5 linked regions of the Oryzias latipes genome follow. The protein of the gene in region 2 interacts with the protein of the main gene of each other region in a pairwise test. Links are inferred from orthologs where the notes say so. Each region holds a gene or a part of one and is shown on either strand. Other genes may lie near its edges.

Region 1 (3,984 bases), on a different chromosome or scaffold from region 2:
ACTGGGTTAAGTCAGTCTAGAGTTAACTTACCCAGAGGAACAGCTTGATCTTCAGCCTCATTTGACATCTCAGCATCATTAGCCTCTGCTGCAACCTTAACTGGAAAAAAGGTTGAAAGAAAACAGGAACACAGGCCTTAAACACAAAAACCATCCTTTTTATCAAACAAACAAAAAAGTGTTGTAATAAGAAAAAAAAATGTTATTTACTCCTTTTCTTGGCAGATATCTCATTTTCATCACAGTTTTGCTCTTCATCTTCTGCTTCTTTGTGTTTTCTTTTTCCATCCTTTTTCCTTTTCCCTGTTTGGCTTTCTTTCTGCTCTTGTGTGACTTGTTCGTCATATAGTTTTGGAGCTTTTCCGTTGTTCTGCTGCCGGGCCTCTTTGCGTTCTCTTTTGTTCATCTTTTTGTTTTTCTTCACATCTTCGTGGCCAAACGGAGTTTGAGTTCCATTAGTGTTTGCTTGGACTTCAGCTTCTTTCTCCATGTGCTGCTGTGTATCTTCTGGAACCTGGGGTGCAAAAGATTACAGATAAGCAAAACAACAGTACAGTGAAAGAATGAACGGTATTACACAACACTTAATACATTTCCAGCCCTTAAATATCACATTAATATTATTTTCCATTGATTTCCATTAAAGCTTAGGCTCCCCAGCTAATAATTTAGTGTAATATTTACTTTAACAAACAAAACAGCTACTTACATCGACGGCAGCAGCAATTATGTTCCACACTTCCTCGTGTAGGCTTGTGTTGGATATTTTTAGACTGTTTTTCATCCAGTTCTGAAAGAAGAAAAAACATTAACAGTAATAAGTAAATACACATTTTAATAATCTTCCTGGTAAAAGCCTAAACCCTTCTTACAAGTTTTGGTAACACCAACCTGAAACTTGGCTTTCTTCCTGGGGACATTGTCGTATGCACTGACTTGCCTGAGCACATCTCTCAGCTTGGGACTGATGCTTGATTTGTTCAGGGCTTCATGGATTCTCTTCAGGAAAAGACACAAGTCAGGATCCAAAAGAAAAACAAATGTTCACATATAATCGAACTTGGGAAGATGTTTACCTGTAACCACTGCTGTTGTTTGACATCGCCTTTGTTTGCCTTGGCCTCGAAGCCTTTCCCCCCATACTTCTGGTCTTCACTGATACACTTAGTGTGATTTTTATAGTCGTCGTCCCTAGGTAATACGCAGAAAAGAGTCACATTGAATGCGTTACTTGGTCAGTCACAGAGCTCATTATGCGTTAGAATAGAGTATAAGAGAATAAATCTTTATTGATCCCACAAAAAGGAAATTTCCGTGTTACCATAGCTCTATTAAAAAACAGCAGATAGATAATAACTAATACTAAAAAATACACTTAAAAATGAAGAACAGTGATTATTCCCCAGTGTAGTGGCACTCTCTCTGTGTCTTTCTCTTGTTCCACCGTTTGACGTCTGTCCGGCAACTGTTATTTGAAACGCGAGTGAGACACGCAGAGAGAGTGCCACTACAATTTAGTCAAAAAACGATATCGCTTCCAACTTTCTCCGGCTTCAATCAACAATGAGTCTCACTAACAGCATCTCTGTGACGTAGGGTTTTTAATTGGAAGTTCAAACAATAATTATTTAAATTAACTATTAAATCAAAACAGTGCATTTGGCTCCAAAAATAACTATTAAATATAAACTGTGAATTTGGCTCCAACATCCAGTGTCTATGAGGTGTTGTAGAGTCTAGTAGCTAACAGAAAGAAAATTCTGTGACAAGGTGTTGAAGTCCATGGTTTCATGCTGAGGATGATGATGAAGAGGATTGTCCATGATGCATTTCAGTTTCTGTAACATCGTCCTGTGACCCTCCACAGTCACAGACTCTATAAGGGACATCCAGAATGGAGTCGTATCTCCATACCAGTTTGTTGATCCTCTTCCTATGTCAGTTAGTGCATCCGCCACCGCCCCAGGACTTCGCCACAATAAAAAAAAATCTTAAGAGTCCTGTAAACTCTGAAGAGACCCCAGTCTCCTCAGCCTCTCCTTCGATCTCCGGTCACTTCTCTGGTGGAATTTTGTTGTTGCCAAGCAACAACAGCTGATCGATGCACCCGTATCCCACTTCAGACCCAGAAGTGGTGGGAAATAGTCAAATTAGGGCTAGCAGGCACGTGACAACGCAAAAGAAGCCCAAGGCAATCAAAATCAGTTTAGAGAAAGAAACAAATCAAGTAAGCCTACAGGGCACTACGGTAACCTGCAGCCTAGTACCATGGCACCGGTTGGAGGAAAAACAAACTTGTTCCCGACGATATTTTGTAATGTTTAGAAATAACCCAATTGGTCTTACCAGAAATCTTTTCCGCAGTCAATGCAGGACAACACCTGACACCCACGGCAGATGTTCACGTGTTTATCGACCTGGGCTTTTTTCAGAGACTCGCCACACGCATTGCAGGTGAAGAACACCATTTTGATCAATTTTATCCACAGAAGCAACCTTTCTCTAAATTAATAAAGACAATATGTAGATTAAACCAGCAAAACGACAGAAAGTTAAACCACTTTAAACACCATCAATTAATGCACTGACTAGAGACCTGCCTACGGCAAGCTAACGTTTTTTCTAGTAAGTTATAAAAAACGCATGACAAAGAACAAAACCTTCATTGTCTTTAAAAATACCCAAAAATTAGAGCCCGTTAAATTAACCTCTTTAAAATTTTAATTTGAGCGTAAACGTGCGGGTTGAGTTTCTCCCGTCTAAACTTTTGAACAGACACGTGATTACATTCCTTGAAGCTACAGTCTTGATTCTCCGTATAGAAATTTTAACTAGACACCAGTTCCGCAGACCTTTTTTTTTCTTCCTGAAAACCTTTTTTTACATTTCATAACACAAAATAATTATACTACAAAGAGGTATATTTACGATTTCAACAGCACTTTAGAAATGTATATAGTCCCACTGTTTGGGGGTTTAGTATAAGATGTATTTCTTTCCCACGAGGGGTACAAAATAAGCGTTGTACCAGGAAGTTACGTAATGTTATTAAGCGCGAGTGACCCGTCATCCCAATAAAAGACGAAACACTTCACAATGATTTTGGGACCCCTCTGAATGGATATCGACAATAGTAAAATAATATATATAAATAAACACCTTTATAATTAAGACAGGTCAGCTGTTTATTTATTAGTTGTCATTGTAAATGGCTCGAATAGCCACGCTGTTAGCTTAGTAGCAGGTCAAATTTTTGCATGGACGGTCTTGTAGCGATTCTTGAGCTACATGACAGTTATTTTTGAAAAAATATATATATATATTTATACATGGACTGCGGTGTGTGGCTCACTACTAGAGTTCAACCCTTTAATCAACTTTTACTTTTGACTCGTAATCAACTTTTACTTTTGAGTCGTGTAAACTCAGGCTGTTGTTGTTGTTTTAAATGTGATTTTTGTGTGTTTCGCTTTGAAAAGGGGGGAAGCTGAGTGATCATAAATGGAGACCCTGTCCAGCCACAGCTCCTACCTCCTACAGCAGCTCCAGGAGCAAAGAATCCAAGGGCTGCTTTGTGACTGCATGCTGGTGGTTAAAGGAGTCTGTTTTAAAGCTCACAAAAACGTTCTGGCTGCTTTTAGTTCCTACTTTAGGTACTTTTATGCATTTATTTGACAACAGAATATCCACATGAGGTGTTGCTGTGAACCCTAAGAGATATGACCATTTTTTACATTTGTTTTTCAGGTCTTTGTTCCAAAATTCTCCCAGTCAGAAGAATGACGTCTTTAACTTGGTTATCCAAGATGTCAGTGGCATTGGCCAAATATTGGACTACATGTATACATCCCACCTGGACATTAACCAAGAGAATGTACAGGCACTTCTAGACATAGCACAGAACTTACAAGTTCCAAACGTTCAGAATTTGTGTAATGCTTTCCTCAAACCTTGCCCCCCACCCGTGGAAATGCATTCCTTCAC
Region 2 (3,990 bases):
TTTTTCATCTGTTTTATTTTCAAAGTTTTAATTTAAACATTCCAGCTAAAAAATGGAAAGGTTTGAAACCATCATTTAAAAAAAACACATTTATTATGAAAAAAAAGCAACATGAAGCAAGGATATGAAAACAACAACCACAAAGCTAGAAAGCTTTGAGAGAGAGAACTTTTAAATTATTCCTTAACAAAATTCCGTTTTTGTCCTAGCAAACCACAGCTTGTTTGTGTTAAACTTTGTCACAAAAATTGGCGAAACGTTACGGGTTCCGTAAGATAATGGCAACTATTTAGAACTATTTTTTAGTCAATCTCATTTATTTAAATGTTAAGCCAGTTTAGTTCATCTTTTGGAGACCGGGGGGGGGCAATTTTACTTCATCTGTGTTGAAGTAACTTGATTGAAAGTAACTTAGAAATCGTGCAATCCGAATTAATAAAACTGTTTATTTTTGTCAAACTTTATACACAATCTATCTCGTTTAATGGTGGTCGTTCTTGTCCATTCCTGCTTTGATATTGTGTTGCAGACCCTGCTAGATCGGCTAGTAAGTCACGTGGGTTTTTGCTGCTTCTATTTGTTTCATTGTGTCCATCATTTGTCCATAAGGTAAAAAGAAGTGTTGGCTGATATGAACATCCCATTTACAATAACTCAAAAAGCCTGAAAGCCCAAATTAAAACAAATAATTTTAAGTTCTAAATGATGAATTCAGAAAACTATACTGCGAACCAAAGCCAAAGAAATCTCTTTATTATTTGAGCTACTTTTCTAAAAGGTTTTTTTTTTGTCAAATTGAAATCCTGTGGTATGTCAGCTGCTTTAAAACAGAGTAAGTGTATTCATTCATTCACTTTTTCAAAAGTTTCATTTTTCTAATCAAATCAAGCTTTACTTATAGCACTTTACAACTCGGGTCACCCAAAGTGCTTTTATTGTTTGGCATTATTTATTACGTTTATCTATATTTTTGAGTTTTCTGCTCCAGCTGTCGAATGTCCGGCTTTCAGTTGTCTTTTTTTTATCATTGCCGTTAAACCAAATAGAGGATATTTAATTGGGGAAGAGAAATGAAAAACAACGATTTGGGTTTAGACCGCCTTTATTTAAACGCTGGCTTTTGTCTGAAGTGACTGGCAAATATGTGCCGACCTTTTTAATGAAACATGCCATCAGGTGGCGCAAAGGGATATAACCAATTCTTATATTAAAATCATCAATTCATTTACATGACCAGAGGGAGGGTCGGGGTAGTAATATCGGGGGAAATGGATCCACTCAACAATATTCTTCTGTTTTTCGGGCTGGGAATCTGCTGGTGAAAGGATCGGACGCGCTGACTGGGAGGAAATTTAACTGTTTAATAAGGCAAACGGACAGACGGTGATTCCACTCAGGGTTTCGGTCCCTGGCTGGTCGTTCTGAACGGCGTATTTCAGCTCGACCTGCGGGAAAAAGATGGAATTTGGAGAAAGAAGGAGAAGGAGGAAGTCGCAAAGCTTCAAACTGGTCGCAGATGAAGGTAAGCTGCTGAATGGATGCAGGAGACGCGTGTCTGGCTGGCTGGCTGTGTGTCTGCTGCTGTGCGCGTAAACAAAAGCGGCGGCCACGGCATGTCTGGGTTTGGAGGGTTCAAATCGTCATCCCCAGCTTCTATGTGGATCGTGACAATGAAGGATGTTCTGATCTGTTGCACATCCAGAACAGGAGCGCAGGATGTTCACCTTTTTTAAAGCTGCAGCCTCTCTCGAAAACTACTTCATACAACCTACAGGTGGTGGTTTCTGCATGAGATGGGAAGGGGGGTGGGGGTGTCTGCTTTTGTTGACAGTCATTGCGGCTTTTTTACACAAGTTTACAGCAACAACCTTTTGTTTTACTTGCAGACCATGATTCTTCACTGAATTCCAGCAGCAAGGATGGCAAAACTAAAGATGCAGTTGTGTCTGATGGTATGTGTCAGATTGAGCATTGATTTGTCACTTTACCATTTCTATACCTGCGCCCACACCCATTTTTCCTCAATGCAGTTTGGCTGGAAGATGAAGGTGTTGAGATCAAGAGGCAAATCACAGGAATGATGAGGCTTCTGAGGGACAAGACTGGCCGAGTGTATCAGCGTGTTGTTGCAGATTGTGACGGCACAACAAATGATTCCCAGGATAAGCATCTGAGTTGGATTCACCAGCCTCCATTCCTGTCTGTGGTACCAGATGACCATCAAGGCAACAGCTGGCTGTCAACCGGACACTCAGAGCTTTCTGTGCCATCCCCATCTATACCTGTCCCCAATGGTCCAAACTATGGCCAGTACAGCACTCGCTCCAGATCCCTCAGGATTTTCAACAAAACCAAGGATGTGAGCAAAACCAATGAACAAAATGGTAAAACAATAAACAATCTGTGAAAAATCTATTAAAATTGACATTAAAGTAGGGTTTTTTTTACATTTAGTAAATCAAAGACAGCAATTCAACCATTTTTTTCCAGTCAGAAAGTCCACTTTGCCAATGTTTGCATGGATCGTATCACTCATTAAAGCACCTCTGCATTTCCAGATGTGGCGCAACCTGCAGTCCAAGAAAGCTCGTGCTGTATGTGTAACTGTACAGGCACTCTAGAGGCTATATTGCAGGAATTGCGTGCCATGAGGAGGCTGATGCAGACTCAGAAAGGTCAGAAAATGTGGCCAAATTGCACTGGGATAAACATAAAGAAGGCATAACAGGTTTTTGTCTTTCATTTATTTAGCATCCTTTGGAAAGCATCAACAAGCAACACCAGTATGCCAACCTCGCTTTAGCCTGGGCTCCACTCCGCGCAGTCTTCACAGAAAAAGAAAGTCTTACTACAGGGTGGCGCCTCTTACTGTCTCCAGCAGTAAAAAAGTTGTTCTTTCTCCTGTGGAAAGTTCAGCGCATCAAGCTGCACCACCAGCAGAATCTGCAAAGAGGGAAAAATGTGAGAAACTGGACTCGTCAGTGCTGAACATGCATCCCATTTCCCCTGATATTTCGGCACAGTCACAACAGAATGATTCAGGAATAGTGAGCAAAATTCATAATCCTACCTTAAGCCAACCAAAAGAAACTCAAGCATCAGAGGTAAAACCTTAATTTGTTTCTCTGTAAAGTTTGTTGCAAAATTTCTTAGAAAGTTTAGACTTTGTTTAGTTTGTTGATTTAAGTTTAATGTTTTGCTAAATTTATCAAAAAACAAAAATGTAAAGTAATTGATATAAATTGTTGAACAGAATAAGAAAGTTGCTTTTTTTAGAACTTTTTACAAGACACACAAGATCTAAAATTTCTGTAAAGACTAAACAGACTCCAAGCAAAATGTCATGAGACTGGCTTCTTTCTGAGTTACACCTGGTGTAAACTTTATCTTTATTGAGCCATGTAAAATGACCTTAATGTATTGTTGTACAATGAAGTCTCAACCTTTTTGACTTCAGTTCTTAAACCCAGTTCTGAATTTCAGTTGTTCATTTCTGTTTAATTTTTGGAACGACTAATTGTTTTGTTCTGTATTCCATCACAGAGTGAGGTCCGTCTTGCAGAGGAATACGACGTGTTTATATCTAAAGCTCAGCTAGATTCCATCTTGGTCAACTACACCCGCTCTGGCAGTCTCCTATTTCGCAAACTGGTATGCATTCAGCTAATTTGGAGCCCTCTTTTTTTTGTGTTATTTTTAGTTTCTATTTTTTAAATGACTATTTCCATTTTTTGATCCCAAAATATCTGGCAATTTTCTGTTGAAAGGCTCACTTTGATCATCTTTTGAGCTGTTTAAAAGCATTCTCAATGGTCTTTTAATTATGATTATGCAGTTTTTAGCCTTAATGCAAAATACCTGCGTTGTTTTCGTGGAAATTATTTTTGCAGAGCGGCAGTAGTTCATTAAAAATGTGCTTCTGAGTTGTGGCTGTGAGAAACCCCGCCCCACTTCCCATCTCCGCTGCTCAAAAGCTTGTGGCCCGCCCAG
Region 3 (4,079 bases), on a different chromosome or scaffold from region 2:
AGTTGTTGTGGGAAATGCCTCACTTTTACAAACTCAACAGCTCGTGGGGAGAAGTCACAGGCGTAAACAAATATGTTGAGGTCGTCCTCCAGCAAAGGAAAGAGGCAGTTTCCCACGCCGCAGCCAGCTTCCAACAAAACCAACTTCTGGGACTCAAACTGTGAAGCAAAGCACAAGAATAACTGGACATTAGTTTAATAAGCTTGTTTGGCCATCTGACCTACAATATTTTTCAGCATCTTAAACTTTAAAGAAGCATAAATAGAGTATAGTTTAATATTTTAATATTACATTTAAGTAATTAATGTGAATATATTATTCATATTAATATATTTTAATTTATTAATTAATATATGATTTAGGGTTTTAAAAAATGGCGTAATTACTAGATAATTTAACATTTATAAATAATCTGAAGAAGAAGAAAGAAATCCCTATTTGATAGATAGAATGTTCTACATGTTAAATAGAAGATTATTTATTTTGTGAGTATAAAACAAGAAATAGAAACAGATGAAGACTGGTAAGTCCATGTATAAAAGTAATCTTACCTCACGACACTCTTTGAGTTCTTCAAATTCCCTGGTTGTCCAGTGTCTGTCTTTGAAGAAATTTGTGGCGTTTCTTTTGTAAAACAAGTCCCAGTTTTTTCGAGCTTCTTTCTCCAGTTTTATTTGTTTGAACTCAGATACAAGAACTCGCTCAGTTTTGAATCTACCCTGCTCCTCCTGGGTTAAATCTCTGGAGGAAGATGTTTTCGTTTGTCCGGACAGGCATGTTGGTGTGTCGTCCGTAGACTCGGTATCTTCGGCTCGGTTCATCATATTTCCACGCTGCTTTAAAGTTTTTGGAGATTTTTTTCCGTCTTTCTTTGTACAAAGTCATTAATTTACGACATTTTCAGTTGTTATTCCTGAACATTTATGCAGTTTATTACGTTTTCAATAAAACAATATAAAATAAAAGGTTGAATAAGCTAAATCTACAATAAAAAACCCTACTTCAATTTCAAACAATTCTTTTCATTTCCTCTGTTGTGTACGTTCACGAAATCCTTCCGATGAGTGCACGTAATTGCATTCCGCGTTGCCATCTGGCTTTTTATATAAATTGTTTATGAAACTAAAATGTACTAAAATAATTCTGTTTGATAAAAAACTAATCTAAATGCAAATTATCATTTAATAAGACAACCAAGTTTTATCACAGTTTTTGCCGCCGTCTGATCTTAGAGGTAGTTCATAGTCGAACCAAAATCAAAAGAGAGCACAGTGACGTCAGGGATGTTTTGCTAACTGTTAGCTTCTGCAGCTAGTTTTATCTTCCAGTTGGATTATCCTGTTTCTTCCCAGTTGCGACTGTTAGCTCACTTCTTATTACCAATATACGTAAATGTTAGACTTTTAGACAAACTGAACCATGAACGGTAGTACAAACCCGCTGCTGGACAAAGAGGAGCATGTTTTGAAGCTCGGAGAAAGCTTTGAGAAGAGGCCAAAATCTTCCTTTCACACCATCCGATGTGAGCGTGAGACCGCGTTGTGTTTACAAGACCTTTAAGTTCTTAACAAACTCTGGAGTGCGGCTGGTTATCTGCTGTAAATGTAGAGGCTCTCTCTCCAAGACTCTCTTCAATACTTTTCAGTCATTTGAAGATAAAAGCAGTTTGTTTTTTTGGTTGAGCTTTTACACTTTATGCTATTAACTACCCAATACTTATTTTACTACACCAAAGTTTATCTAATTTTTTGTGAGAAACAAGTTTTTTATATTTGCCTCCAACCAGGACTCATTTTTTAGCCTCCAGCTCCACATGGAGTGGCAATTGAAATTCTCCTTCAAAATAAAATGCAGATCCTATCTGTTGTAATAAACACAATCTGGATTGTTGGGGCATAAATGCTGAATAAAACAACTGGATGCAGGGACAACGGTTTATAGTCTTCATCGTGTTTCTTGTTCAGTGTGGTATTTAGAGATATCCAGTTTTTCTCAGAGGATTCGTGTTGCTTTATTGAAGTAGATGTTTGAAGTAGATGTTTCACAATATAGGATTTATTATTGATACCAAAACACTTTTATTGTGACGCCTAGGCTTGGAATTGCATTTTATTTACACTAAAAAGCTTTTCTGTTTACTTTTATTAAAAAAATTCATACTGTTATTCACTCAGGTTCAATCATATTGTTTCCATGACCAGTTATGTGAAGACAGTTTGAAAAATGTAAACAAAAATTAAAATAGAAATGCAAAAAAAAGAAACGATTCAATTGCTTTGAGTCAAAGCCTGTGTTGTATTTTGAACTTGTGTGTCAAAATAGACTTTGGCTGGACTTGGGAGAGAAACCATCCGTGTTACAGAGCTGTTGTAGTAAAAGGGTTTTATGATGCATGTGATGTCCTATTTTAAACACTGACCTCCCCGCGTCACAGTATTCCATTTACTCATTAGTTCACTTTTAGATCTCAGTAAAAGTCACCTTGGGGCATTCTCCGGAGAAAGTGGTCATGTTAAATTCAAACTTTGAATGCAATTGATTTATAGTGTTATAAAACATATTCAATTTGTTTTGTACAGAACAAAAAATTATCTGTATTAAATTAGCATTTTATCTCATTTATTATAGTTGATAGAATTACAAATGCAGCCAGGGAAAACAACCCACATTATTTTTTTCATCTTATGCTAGTATGAAATTACTGTAATTGCTTTTTTGTATTTTGGTTGTTTTTCCCTTCCAGGTAGTTATTCTCCAACTGTAATTATAATTCCATATATGTGTGAATGCCAGTTCACGGTGTTTCCCTCTAAATAAAAAAATAGGCAATCAGGGAGAACACAAATTTGACTCGATACATTTCATTTCCAGATGACTTCAAACCAGCATCGATTGACACCAGCTGTGAAGGGAAGCTACAGGTCGGAAAAGGAGATGAAGTTACAATAACGTTACCTCATATTCCAGTAAGGCTTTCCTCTTTTTAACAATCTGGTCAGAGATGCATGCACATCATGATCTGCCTGATCTCTGCTGACTCATGTTTTCTGTCACAAAAAGGTCTGACAGCTGTTTTGATCAGTCACAGTGCAGTCAAAAAATCTAAGCAATCATGTGTCTAAAAAAATTATGTTCTGAATGTATCCTAGAATTGTGACTGAAAAAGTCTGTTTATCTTCACTATAACACTGCTCTTGAACAAGATGATGTAGTTTTTTTGATTTTGATGTAACCTTCTAAAAGGGCCCTTTTCCAAGCTTTAAATACATAAAACTGCAACTACCTGTTCTTTGTCTTTCAGGGCTCCACACCTCCAATGACAGTATTTAAAGGAAACAAGCGACCGTATCAAAAGGATTGCGTGCTCATCATTAATCATGACACGGGCGAATTTGTACTGGAGAAGCTCAGCAGCAGCATCCAGGTTAAGAAAACAAGGTGGGATGTCAGTGTCCTGGTTTCCAGAGTCCTGCTGACTTTGGGTAGTAGATGTGTATTGTCTATAAGATCTTTAAATTGCTCAAGATGAGGAAAAGTTGGCTGATGTATGTATCTGTGCGAACAGAGCGGAGGGCAGCAGTAAGATCCAGGCTCGGATTGAGCAGCAGTCGGTTCGTTCCAGCCAGCCCGGCTCTCAGTTCCGAGCCCCAACCAAGCCGGGAACTGGGATCAAAACATCCCCATCCCCATCTAAGGACAACCCCTCTCCAGAGCCTCAGCTGGACGACATTAAGAGAGGTGAGGAGGTTCCTGCACTGTTGGTGTTTTACAAAGTCATGATTTCTCAGAAAAAACCCTGCTAAAGATGACAAAGAATGAAAAACATTTGGACAAATGTGAGTACAAAAAAAGACAAGACCTTGAAATATGAAATGCTGATCTTGCTGCTGTCGACAGAGCTGCGGGCAGAGGTGGAGATGATTGAACAGATGAGCAGCAGCGGCAGCAGCAGCTCCTCAGACTCAGCCAGCTCCTCGGGGAGCGGCGACGACAGCAGCAGCAGCGACGGCGAGGGCGATGCTCCCCGGCCGCTCAGCCAGAACTCCCCCAGCCGCAACCCCATGGCCAACGGAGGGATG
Region 4 (4,279 bases), on a different chromosome or scaffold from region 2:
AAAAGGCGGAACTGCAGGCTCACGCCTGAAAAACAAAGCGTTCATCAAATGATGAAGAATCACCTCACCTTCATCAGGAGCAGCACAGCATCCGTGATGACTGTTTCCTTCCTGACAGAATAAACCTTTCAAAATAAAAGCTCATCTTTAGATAGACTTGTTTCTGCTTTTATCCTTTAAAGTTCAGACGGATCTAACAACTCATTCAGTTCTGTGAGAAAATAACAGGAATTTATTCCTGATTTTTACTTTAACGTCATTTCTTTTAACTTTCAGAATATAGAAATATTCTAGAAAGAGAGAATAAAGACTTCTTTATCCCATCGCTGTGATCAAATCAATGCCAGAATTTCCCAACCATGGATGCTGCGTTCCCGGACCAGGACGTCTGCTGGGAATGCGTAGAGGGTCGTCCTCCTCTCTCCTCCTCCTTCCTCCTGCTTCGTCCTCATCCTCCCGCAAACTCCTCCTCCCTGCTTTCTTCTCCTGGGGGGGCAGCAGCTGAGCCCTCACCTTCTCTGACAAACCGTCTCCATTTATGAAAACCCTTCAGAATAAAAGCCTTCAGTCAATCATTTCATCCAGATTCAGGGTTGCTACCTCTGCACCCGCAGCTCTTATGGTCTGCCCTCCTCACCTGTGACTCTGTGACCCTGAGGGACTGAAAACAGGAAGAACTGCTGATTCCTGTGGGGGACGTTTTTTTACACCGACCTGTCAAACGTGTCCAGATGGTCGGCGTCCACGTGATCCTTCATGTTCACGGTCAGGTCGGTCACCTGCTGCGTGCTGCAGTTCTTCAGACACACAGAAAGCAGACGCCGTCACACCGCCGTTACCTTCAGCTGGAATCTGACGTCAGCATTTCTGAACGACGATTGTTCAGAGTTTCTGTGACGTTCGTGACGCGTGGACTCATGTTCAATACAACACGAGTCCACATGTCTGCAGGACGTGAACGGAACAGAAAAATAACATGCCACCATAATAAAGATTGAAGAAACAGACAGAGGGCTGTACCGACTCACTGCACAACTACACATAATATATTCACCAGGTTTCTGCTTCAGAAATATTTATTGTTTTCCTGTTTCTCTTTATTCTAGTATCTTCAGCCATGTTTTGCAGCTTATCTTCTACAGTTACTCATCTATTTCAACCATCCATCTATTCAAATGTTCGGCTCTTTCAGCTTTTTCCAGCTGTGACTTTTGGTCCTTCAAATCCTTGAACTTTTCCAGATATTCCAGGATTTCTGCCTCCATTTAAATAAATGGGGAATCCTTGGTGCAGAAGCTCGCTGGTTTGATACCCGGCTCTGGCATTTTTCACAAACATTTTTGTTATTGTGCTGTTTTCACTTTATTTATGGTCAACTTTGATCATTTCTTTATTTTTTGCCCGTTATTCCCCTTTAAGTTTCATTTTCATTCAGCAGTACAGCATTTAACCGGCATTTTCTTCTAGAAATGCAGCTCCTTCTAGTTTAAGTTTCTTTTTGAAGACCTTTTCAGAACTTCTGCTGGGAAATCAAAATAAAAGAAAACCATCAAAGTTCAAACCTAAAGCCATCTGATCTTCATTCAGAAAACCTTTGTTAAAATCTCTGACTGCTCTCTATTTTTTTAATTTGAAGCTATTCCACTAAATCTTCACCTTTCAACAGTTCTGAGATGATAAATAACGCCTTTGTGTGCTCCCTACATCATCAAAACACGTCTGATGTTCTAAAACGAGCCAAATGTTGCCATGAAACCTAAAAGCGGCCTCTGTGTTTTTAAATTTCAGATTTGTTTCTCTGTCGTCTCAGATGTGAGGTTCGCTGCAGACTTTTTGCATTTAATGCTTCGTTCTCCCTCATTCCAGCAGAGTGCCCACCCCCTCATGTCCTGAAGGACCCCCCCCCATGCCTACCATCAGGTTGAATATCACAGCAGAGTCCACGGGGACGGCTTTCAGCAGCATCTTTGCGTCCGCGCCTTCGTAGCGGAGACTGTACAGCTCCTTGTTGCTGCTCCAGTCTGCAGGCAGGAGCTCCGACTTCCGGTCACCGCTGCGGGGCTGGGGGGAGGGACGGGGGCGGGGGGGGGGGGTGAGACACCCTCTCTTTCAAACGCTTCTGTGCCCCCCCCCCCGCGCTAAAGATGACGTGACACTTTTTGCGGAAAGTCCATTTGTTTAGTATGAGACCAAATGGCGCGTGCCAACTGCACGAGACTAAAAATCGGACTAAAACATGACTCAATGCAGAACTTTAGGAGGTCAAAGGTCACCTAGATGGAGGAAGAAGAACCAACTCAGCGGAGGTTTCCTCTGAATCGCCTGCAGGACAGTTTCAGTTTCCATCCTGATCCTCCTGCTAATGTAGCAAAGCTAACATTTATTCCCACAGACTGAGAGTTTAAATCAAAACTGTAACTCAGAGGGACTTCAGAGGCTGTCAACAAACTACGATCTAAAAGTAAACAAACAGCATTAACTTGGTTCGTCTCGTATCTTAAATGTGTTTAAATAAAACCAGAATGTGTTGTTGGTTTGTCTCTTCTGGTTCTGCTTAAGTTAGCTAGTTCGACCCACCTCGTCTCCGGAACCGATGCACCGGTATCCTCCCTTGATCATTTCCCAGTGAACGAAACACACGAGGGCGTCCTGAGGACAAGTCAGGCTACCTGTGACGCAGGTGTACAACACCTCCAAGCCTGCCATGTTGTCTCACAAACCAACAGCACAGAACAAGAACAGAAAACAAAAATCGCAGAGTCGTCGCTTCCATAACAACCACAGCGACTTCCTGCAGGGATTTTCAAAGTAAAAGCACGTGGCTTTTAGAGGATTGCAGAAAACACATACGACACGCTAAAATAGTATTGTAGACGTGATACAGTCACAATTTAGTAATCAGATATTTTTAAAACGAACAACGATAATCTACTTCAACGTGACGCTAACACAGGCCCACAAAAGCGTTAATTTTATTTTATTTTTAAATACGCCCCCGGAAACAGTAAAATAGTTTATTCCAACTAGACGGCGAGTTGCAGTTTTGTTTTGATCCGTCACATAAATCTTTCGACTGAAAACACGCAAATGACAAAACATTCCGCATTCCGGGGTGATTAAAGAAAAACGCCTGTAATATGTGCTATATTATTGTTTAAAATTACAGCGTCTTTATGTATATTCAGCATATGCAAAATTAGAACTAACAACAAGATCATATGAAAACTCCTCTGTTGAGATTAAACTCCTTTTCAAGTTGTTTAAAATGTGTTTATTTACCTTTACACATAAAATTAAATACAATATTTGATTAAAACAAAATTCTAATCTTGATTTTAATTGCTTGAATTATGCGTTTTAAATAGTCTTTTTGTAAATATGTTCCTTTATTATTATTATTATTATTATTATTATTATTATTATTATTATTATTATTATTATTATTAAACTCGCTCCTTATCGCTGCTTGGACTGTAAATCTGTGGAGGTTGGAGGTAAATGTTTTCCTGACGAGACGGAATAAACTTGACTTCCCAGCATGCACCTCGAGCGCAGGGCGAGAGAGCTTCCTCGCGAAGATGGCGGCTCCCTTGACGCTCCTAATGATTGTCGCCGTGACGGTCCGTGCCGTTCTATTCCGGTCCAGTTTGGCGGAGCTGATTTCAGAGAGGGTGGAGGTGGTGTCACCGATTACTGCCTGGAAAAGAGGTGAGCGGGCCGCCGGCGGGGGTCCGGAGCGCACCGGTCACACACGCCTCGCACCCGCGCGCCTCCCCGCTGCGCCGGTAAACCGGTTCGGCGACAAAATCTGTCACAAAAGAAATCTGTAAATGTTTGGAGAATGGTCGACGAAGGTGAAACGGTGTCAGACTCGGACTCTGATCCGATTTTTGGTCCCCAAAAAAACCCCGAACTGAAGGAACTCATCTCTGATTATTATCATCGATTGTTACTCGTACAAGTAATCTATTACATTTGAATATGACACTGTCAGAGCTGTAACGCCTTCATTAACTGAAAGTGACTTCAGTCAAAGTAACGACAGGAGGTTCTGCAGAGGAGCTGTTGGGTTGTCCTGCAGGTTCTGATGGATGAAGAACATGTTTGGGTTCATCCATGTTCCTGATCATCTGATCTGTTGTCAGATTGTTCCCGGTCGTTTGTTTCTGATGATGATGCCGTTTTTAGCCCAAAATCCTGTCTTTTTCTAGGACATAGTTTCTGCAGAGCAGCTGGAGTTCAGTAGAAATCCACCTCTCCTCTGAGTTGCCTGTTGGCA
Region 5 (4,047 bases), on a different chromosome or scaffold from region 2:
GTGACTGAGCCCAAAGCTTGAAGCCTCTTCAGCTTAACTGGAAGTTCTTTGAAGTATTATTGTGTTCCTGAAAGACTAGTACTTTGGTTTTACTGGGGTCTACACAATACTACACACCTGAAATGCAATTTTGACTGCTGTAATGATGAATTATGGGCAAAAACTAAATAAAGAGATTGGAACCATTAATTCTCTTGTGTATGGAAGTTTTTTTCTGGAGCATAATTAAAAATAAAATTCAATACCAGAAATGCATACATGTGTTCACTCCATTATTTAATAAATTGTTATGTAGCTCTTTGACCTTTTTGTGCCTCTGGATATTGAGGTGGTTTTAACTATGACTTTGGTAAACTATTGTAGGGATTTCAGTGATTTCCTATATTAAACCCTTGTGCTATTCTATGACCCCAGTTTTACTTTGATGTGTTCTCCCTACTATGACAAAAGTGGATGAAGGTGAAGAGGATTTCTTGTAATCCATGGACACCAGTGAAGATCACAAATCATTGAAGAAAAAAGGTTCAGAGAAGTGTCTAGTGGGTCTAGATGACCCAACTCCCAACGTTAAAGTGCCTAGCATAGCACAAGGGTTACATGGTACTTGATAAACTTTAGCATAAGTCTTTCCACACTTTAAGGGGAATCCTGGACTAAATCAACAATCCAGTTGGAGAGTATCTGCAATGGGAATGATTCCATATACACACATATATATATCTATATAGATATATATATGTGTGTATATGGAATCATTCCCATTGCAGATAGATATAGATATAGATATAGATATATCTATATAGATATATAGATATATATATATATAAAAGGCGAAAACCTCAGTTTTATATATATATAGAGAGAGAGGGAGAGTGTTTACGCTTTTTCAGTCTACAATGGTGAATTTTTACCTAGAAAAGACATTAATTTGGCACATCTGAATTTGTCATGTTGGTGATCTTGAACGTTACTCATGGCCTAAAAACTACATTTCCTACAGGTCATGGCAAGACTTCAGGAAGTAATCATTGGTGTTTCAGAAGAAACATGTTTGAACAAAACCAAAAAAAAAAGTTTAAAAAAATGTTGGTGACATTTGTGATATGTGGAGGATTATACTCATTCTTATTTACAAGAAACAAGCATTAATGGGGTTTTATCATTCCTTTTAAAGGCACTACTATTTAAAGTGAACAAAACAGGTTCTTTTATTTTGAACACACAAACAGTGATACCGGAAGTGTTTGGTTACTTCCACCGTGTTTTTACTAACAACCGCACGCGACTCTAAACGGCTAAAACTTCTGTTCAAGTCCTAATATTTCTGCTCCGTTTTTATTCAGTTTTTCTTTTGCCGGTTCAAATCCTACTTTGAAAGAATATTATCTATTTTCCAAGGTAAATAAACCGACGAACGAAAAAAAGTTACGGTCTAATGTTTGCTTACACAGCTAAGTCGTTAGCATTATTGATTTAAATTTCGAATGTCAATATATATATTGTATATATAGCTTAAAGGAAAAACAAATATTTGGTAACTTGCACAATGATAATAATAATGCTTTTCCCCTTACCAATTATGTAAGTTTCGTCCTTATGGGTTGGAAATGGGTTTTGAGATATTTCTGTCCGTGCTAGTGCTAGCTTTGCTAATTTTTGGTGGACATTTGATTTGACATGCGCACAACGATCCCCCTCACCTCGGAAAGTATTAACTCTTTTGTATTTAAATGAAGCAAACTTTATTTTAACCTCAGACTATACATCGTGTCGCATACAAAAAAAACAAAAAGCATCTTAACTTGAACTTTGAATACTAAAAATTCAATTTTTAAGTTTTTTTTGTCTTTTCTTTGTGTTAGCTGGCGACCAAAGCACCACTTGACTGTCTATAATGTCCCAGGCCACCAAACGCAAACATGTTGTCAAGGAAGTTCTTGGAGATTTTGTCACACCGACAGAAAACCAGCAGATTGTAAAGGTGAACTCAGTGTTTTGCAGAATACTGTCCTAATAATTAAAGATCAACAGGAATGTAAAAAAATGTTAACAATCTTACAAAAACTTCCTCCTTCCCTTTTTTCATCCACTGCACATCCTCAGGTTGTTGGAAGTCGAGGCAACAATCTGCACGAAGCAGTCACGGCTCAGGGGGAGACTTTCCTGGTGAGCATGCCCACCAAGTTCCGGAAAAACATCTGGATCAAGAGAGGTACGGGATTATAAAACGGTTACTATTCCTGATGTTTATAGATGTACATGCCTGAAACTGCTCTAAAAAAGGTTTTGGGAGAGAAAGACGTGTTTGGTTTGACTTAAGGCTGAAAGACAAGCAACTACACATTGTCGATTTACTGTATACATTTAGGAGGGGCTGTTGGAGAGCAAACCAACCTCATAACATGGAAGTCTTGGATTCAATTCCCTGGTTTTAAGACCTATTGTCTGTTGAGGCAACACCATTCGAACATTAGAACTGTGCATAAAACTGATTGGATTTCAGGCTAGAAGGAAGATATGCCAATGCAAGAACATTTTCAGATTTATAAAAACGATGTTCAGGTATTTCAAACCTAAATATCTGGACATCATTTTGGTTTAAGGGGGGTTTGTGCACATCAACTATCAGCACATTTTTGGAAACACTCTTGTCTGGAATTGTTCCACTTGCATTTAACTTTTAGATTTTCTAATAAAGCTTTTTAAATTATGATCACAAATTAATTTTGCCTACATTTTTTATTTTTTTTATTTTTATTTATTCAGCAAACTGTATTCATGTAAAAATTACAGTACAACAGTTTTTCCTCATCTAAAAAAACTACATATTTTAGCCACAACTCTTAAAAGTATATTATAACCTTTAAATCTAAATTAATTTAATTTCTTGTTTAATTTAGACGAACAGGTAATGAAATTCTGAAGTTAGATCAGCAAAAACTGGTCATAGAAATCAATTATTCTGTCATTTTTATAAATACGTTTTCTTGGGGTTTGTGTTTTTGGCTCGACTTTCAGGCGATTTCGTGATTGTGGATCCCATCGAGGAGGGAGAGAAGGTGAAGGCGGAGATCAGCTTCATCCTCTACAAAGATCACATTCAGAACCTTCAGAAACAGCAGCTTTGGTGAGTTTGAAGACACAAGGACGTGTGCGTCGCTTCGGGCTCTCATGCTTCTCTCTGCTCCCCTCCAGGCCTGAGGGCTTCACGGAGAAGCTGCCACACAATAACGAAAACACGCGTCAGGAGGACGCGGAGACAAAACATGAGGAAGAGGAAGGATGCAGCTCCGAGGAGGACGACAGCGACCTTTTTGTAAACACAAACCGATGTAACTACCAGTACAGCGAGAGCGAGGAGGACGACACTGATGAAGAGGACAAACCAGTGACTGAAAATGGTTCTTAGCTGCAGCGATGAAGGTCGATGGAGAACTGATAATTACCACAGACTGACTGAATCTAGGAAGATTTCAAATGTTGGCTTCTGTGCAGCAGCTCCCCCTGCTGGTCAGATTGTTGGCGAGTTGATCTCATTCAGTGAACTTTATGAAACCTTATGTATGGTTTCCACATGAAGCGGTCTCTATGTGATCATAGAAACTCAGCAAGAATCCAGATGAGATAATTTCAGCTGTTTTCCTCACATTCCTGCTTTTCTTCTTCAGCAAATCTCCTATGGAGCCATGTTTCTATGACAAACAGGAAATCTTTGCTGACGGTTCTCGTATTTTCTCTAATGGAATCAAATAAATGCTATTTGTTAAAAAATTATGTTTAATCATTGGATTGGATTTGTTATGTTTGATTTTGGTTGCGTTCTGATTATTTAATGAGAAGCCATAAACAGTATTAGACAGTTGGACTGAGTAACTCTTCCTCCCTCGCGTTCCAAACAGGAAGTACCTGCTGGCACCGAGAAGCCAATTTTTAGGACATAAAAAATATGACTCATGACATTTGTAATTATTCTTCAACAGCTAAGCTGTTGGTGTCATTCTTTAAAAATGTCAGGCTTCCTTATTGAGTGACATTTATAGACTGAAG

The links.
Region 1: the proteins of bend7 (region 2) and lyar interact in binary tests that used the Homo sapiens proteins (3 or more experiments, as listed by UniProt). The two-hybrid records come from large-scale screens. The link is inferred for Oryzias latipes from reciprocal best matches to the Homo sapiens genes BEND7 and LYAR.
Region 3: the proteins of bend7 (region 2) and eaf1 interact in binary tests that used the Homo sapiens proteins (3 or more experiments, as listed by UniProt). The two-hybrid records come from large-scale screens. The link is inferred for Oryzias latipes from reciprocal best matches to the Homo sapiens genes BEND7 and EAF1.
Region 4: the proteins of bend7 (region 2) and psmf1 interact in a two-hybrid assay, tested with the Homo sapiens proteins (2 studies listed by BioGRID and IntAct). The two-hybrid records come from large-scale screens. The link is inferred for Oryzias latipes from reciprocal best matches to the Homo sapiens genes BEND7 and PSMF1.
Region 5: the proteins of bend7 (region 2) and eif1ad interact in binary tests that used the Homo sapiens proteins (3 or more experiments, as listed by UniProt). The two-hybrid records come from large-scale screens. The link is inferred for Oryzias latipes from reciprocal best matches to the Homo sapiens genes BEND7 and EIF1AD.

What each region holds. Positions count from the first base shown.
Region 1 is NC_019863.2:16,779,149-16,783,132, reverse strand, and holds the start of lyar (cell growth-regulating nucleolar protein), read right to left. Parts: upstream 2,807-3,984; 5' UTR 2,469-2,806; coding exon 2,347-2,468; intron 1,192-2,346; coding exon 1,077-1,191; intron 1,000-1,076; coding exon 892-999; intron 791-891; coding exon 710-790; intron 515-709; coding exon 211-514; intron 101-210; coding exon 32-100; intron 1-31. Other genes in the region: zbtb49 (zinc finger and BTB domain-containing protein 49), read left to right, coding at 3,502-3,653, 3,748-3,984. UniProt on the Homo sapiens protein: Plays a role in the maintenance of the appropriate processing of 47S/45S pre-rRNA to 32S/30S pre-rRNAs and their subsequent processing to produce 18S and 28S rRNAs. Also acts at the level of transcription regulation.
Region 2 is NC_019864.2:20,635,888-20,639,877, reverse strand, and holds the start of bend7 (BEN domain-containing protein 7), read left to right. Parts: upstream 1-1,185; 5' UTR 1,186-1,458; coding exon 1,459-1,522; intron 1,523-1,886; coding exon 1,887-1,952; intron 1,953-2,030; coding exon 2,031-2,384; intron 2,385-2,558; coding exon 2,559-2,675; intron 2,676-2,751; coding exon 2,752-3,104; intron 3,105-3,543; coding exon 3,544-3,651; intron 3,652-3,990.
Region 3 is NC_019874.2:26,172,719-26,176,797, reverse strand, and holds the start of eaf1 (ELL-associated factor 1), read left to right. Parts: upstream 1-1,273; 5' UTR 1,274-1,419; coding exon 1,420-1,522; intron 1,523-2,871; coding exon 2,872-2,966; intron 2,967-3,301; coding exon 3,302-3,438; intron 3,439-3,565; coding exon 3,566-3,738; intron 3,739-3,897; coding exon 3,898-4,079. Other genes in the region: mettl6 (methyltransferase-like protein 6), read right to left, coding at 24-158, 552-824. UniProt on the Homo sapiens protein: Acts as a transcriptional transactivator of ELL and ELL2 elongation activities.
Region 4 is NC_019863.2:32,757,111-32,761,389, reverse strand, and holds the start of psmf1 (proteasome inhibitor PI31 subunit), read right to left. Parts: upstream 2,812-4,279; 5' UTR 2,707-2,811; coding exon 2,578-2,706; intron 2,062-2,577; coding exon 1,915-2,061; intron 798-1,914; coding exon 715-797; intron 548-714; coding exon 359-547; intron 26-358; coding exon 1-25. Other genes in the region: pigu (phosphatidylinositol glycan anchor biosynthesis class U protein), read left to right, coding at 3,579-3,708. UniProt on the Homo sapiens protein: Plays an important role in control of proteasome function. Inhibits the hydrolysis of protein and peptide substrates by the 20S proteasome. Also inhibits the activation of the proteasome by the proteasome regulatory proteins PA700 and PA28.
Region 5 is NC_019868.2:26,091,214-26,095,260, forward strand, and holds eif1ad (probable RNA-binding protein EIF1AD), read left to right. Parts: upstream 1-1,237; 5' UTR 1,238-1,398; intron 1,399-1,862; 5' UTR 1,863-1,894; coding exon 1,895-1,981; intron 1,982-2,103; coding exon 2,104-2,212; intron 2,213-3,018; coding exon 3,019-3,127; intron 3,128-3,195; coding exon 3,196-3,409; 3' UTR 3,410-3,774; downstream 3,775-4,047.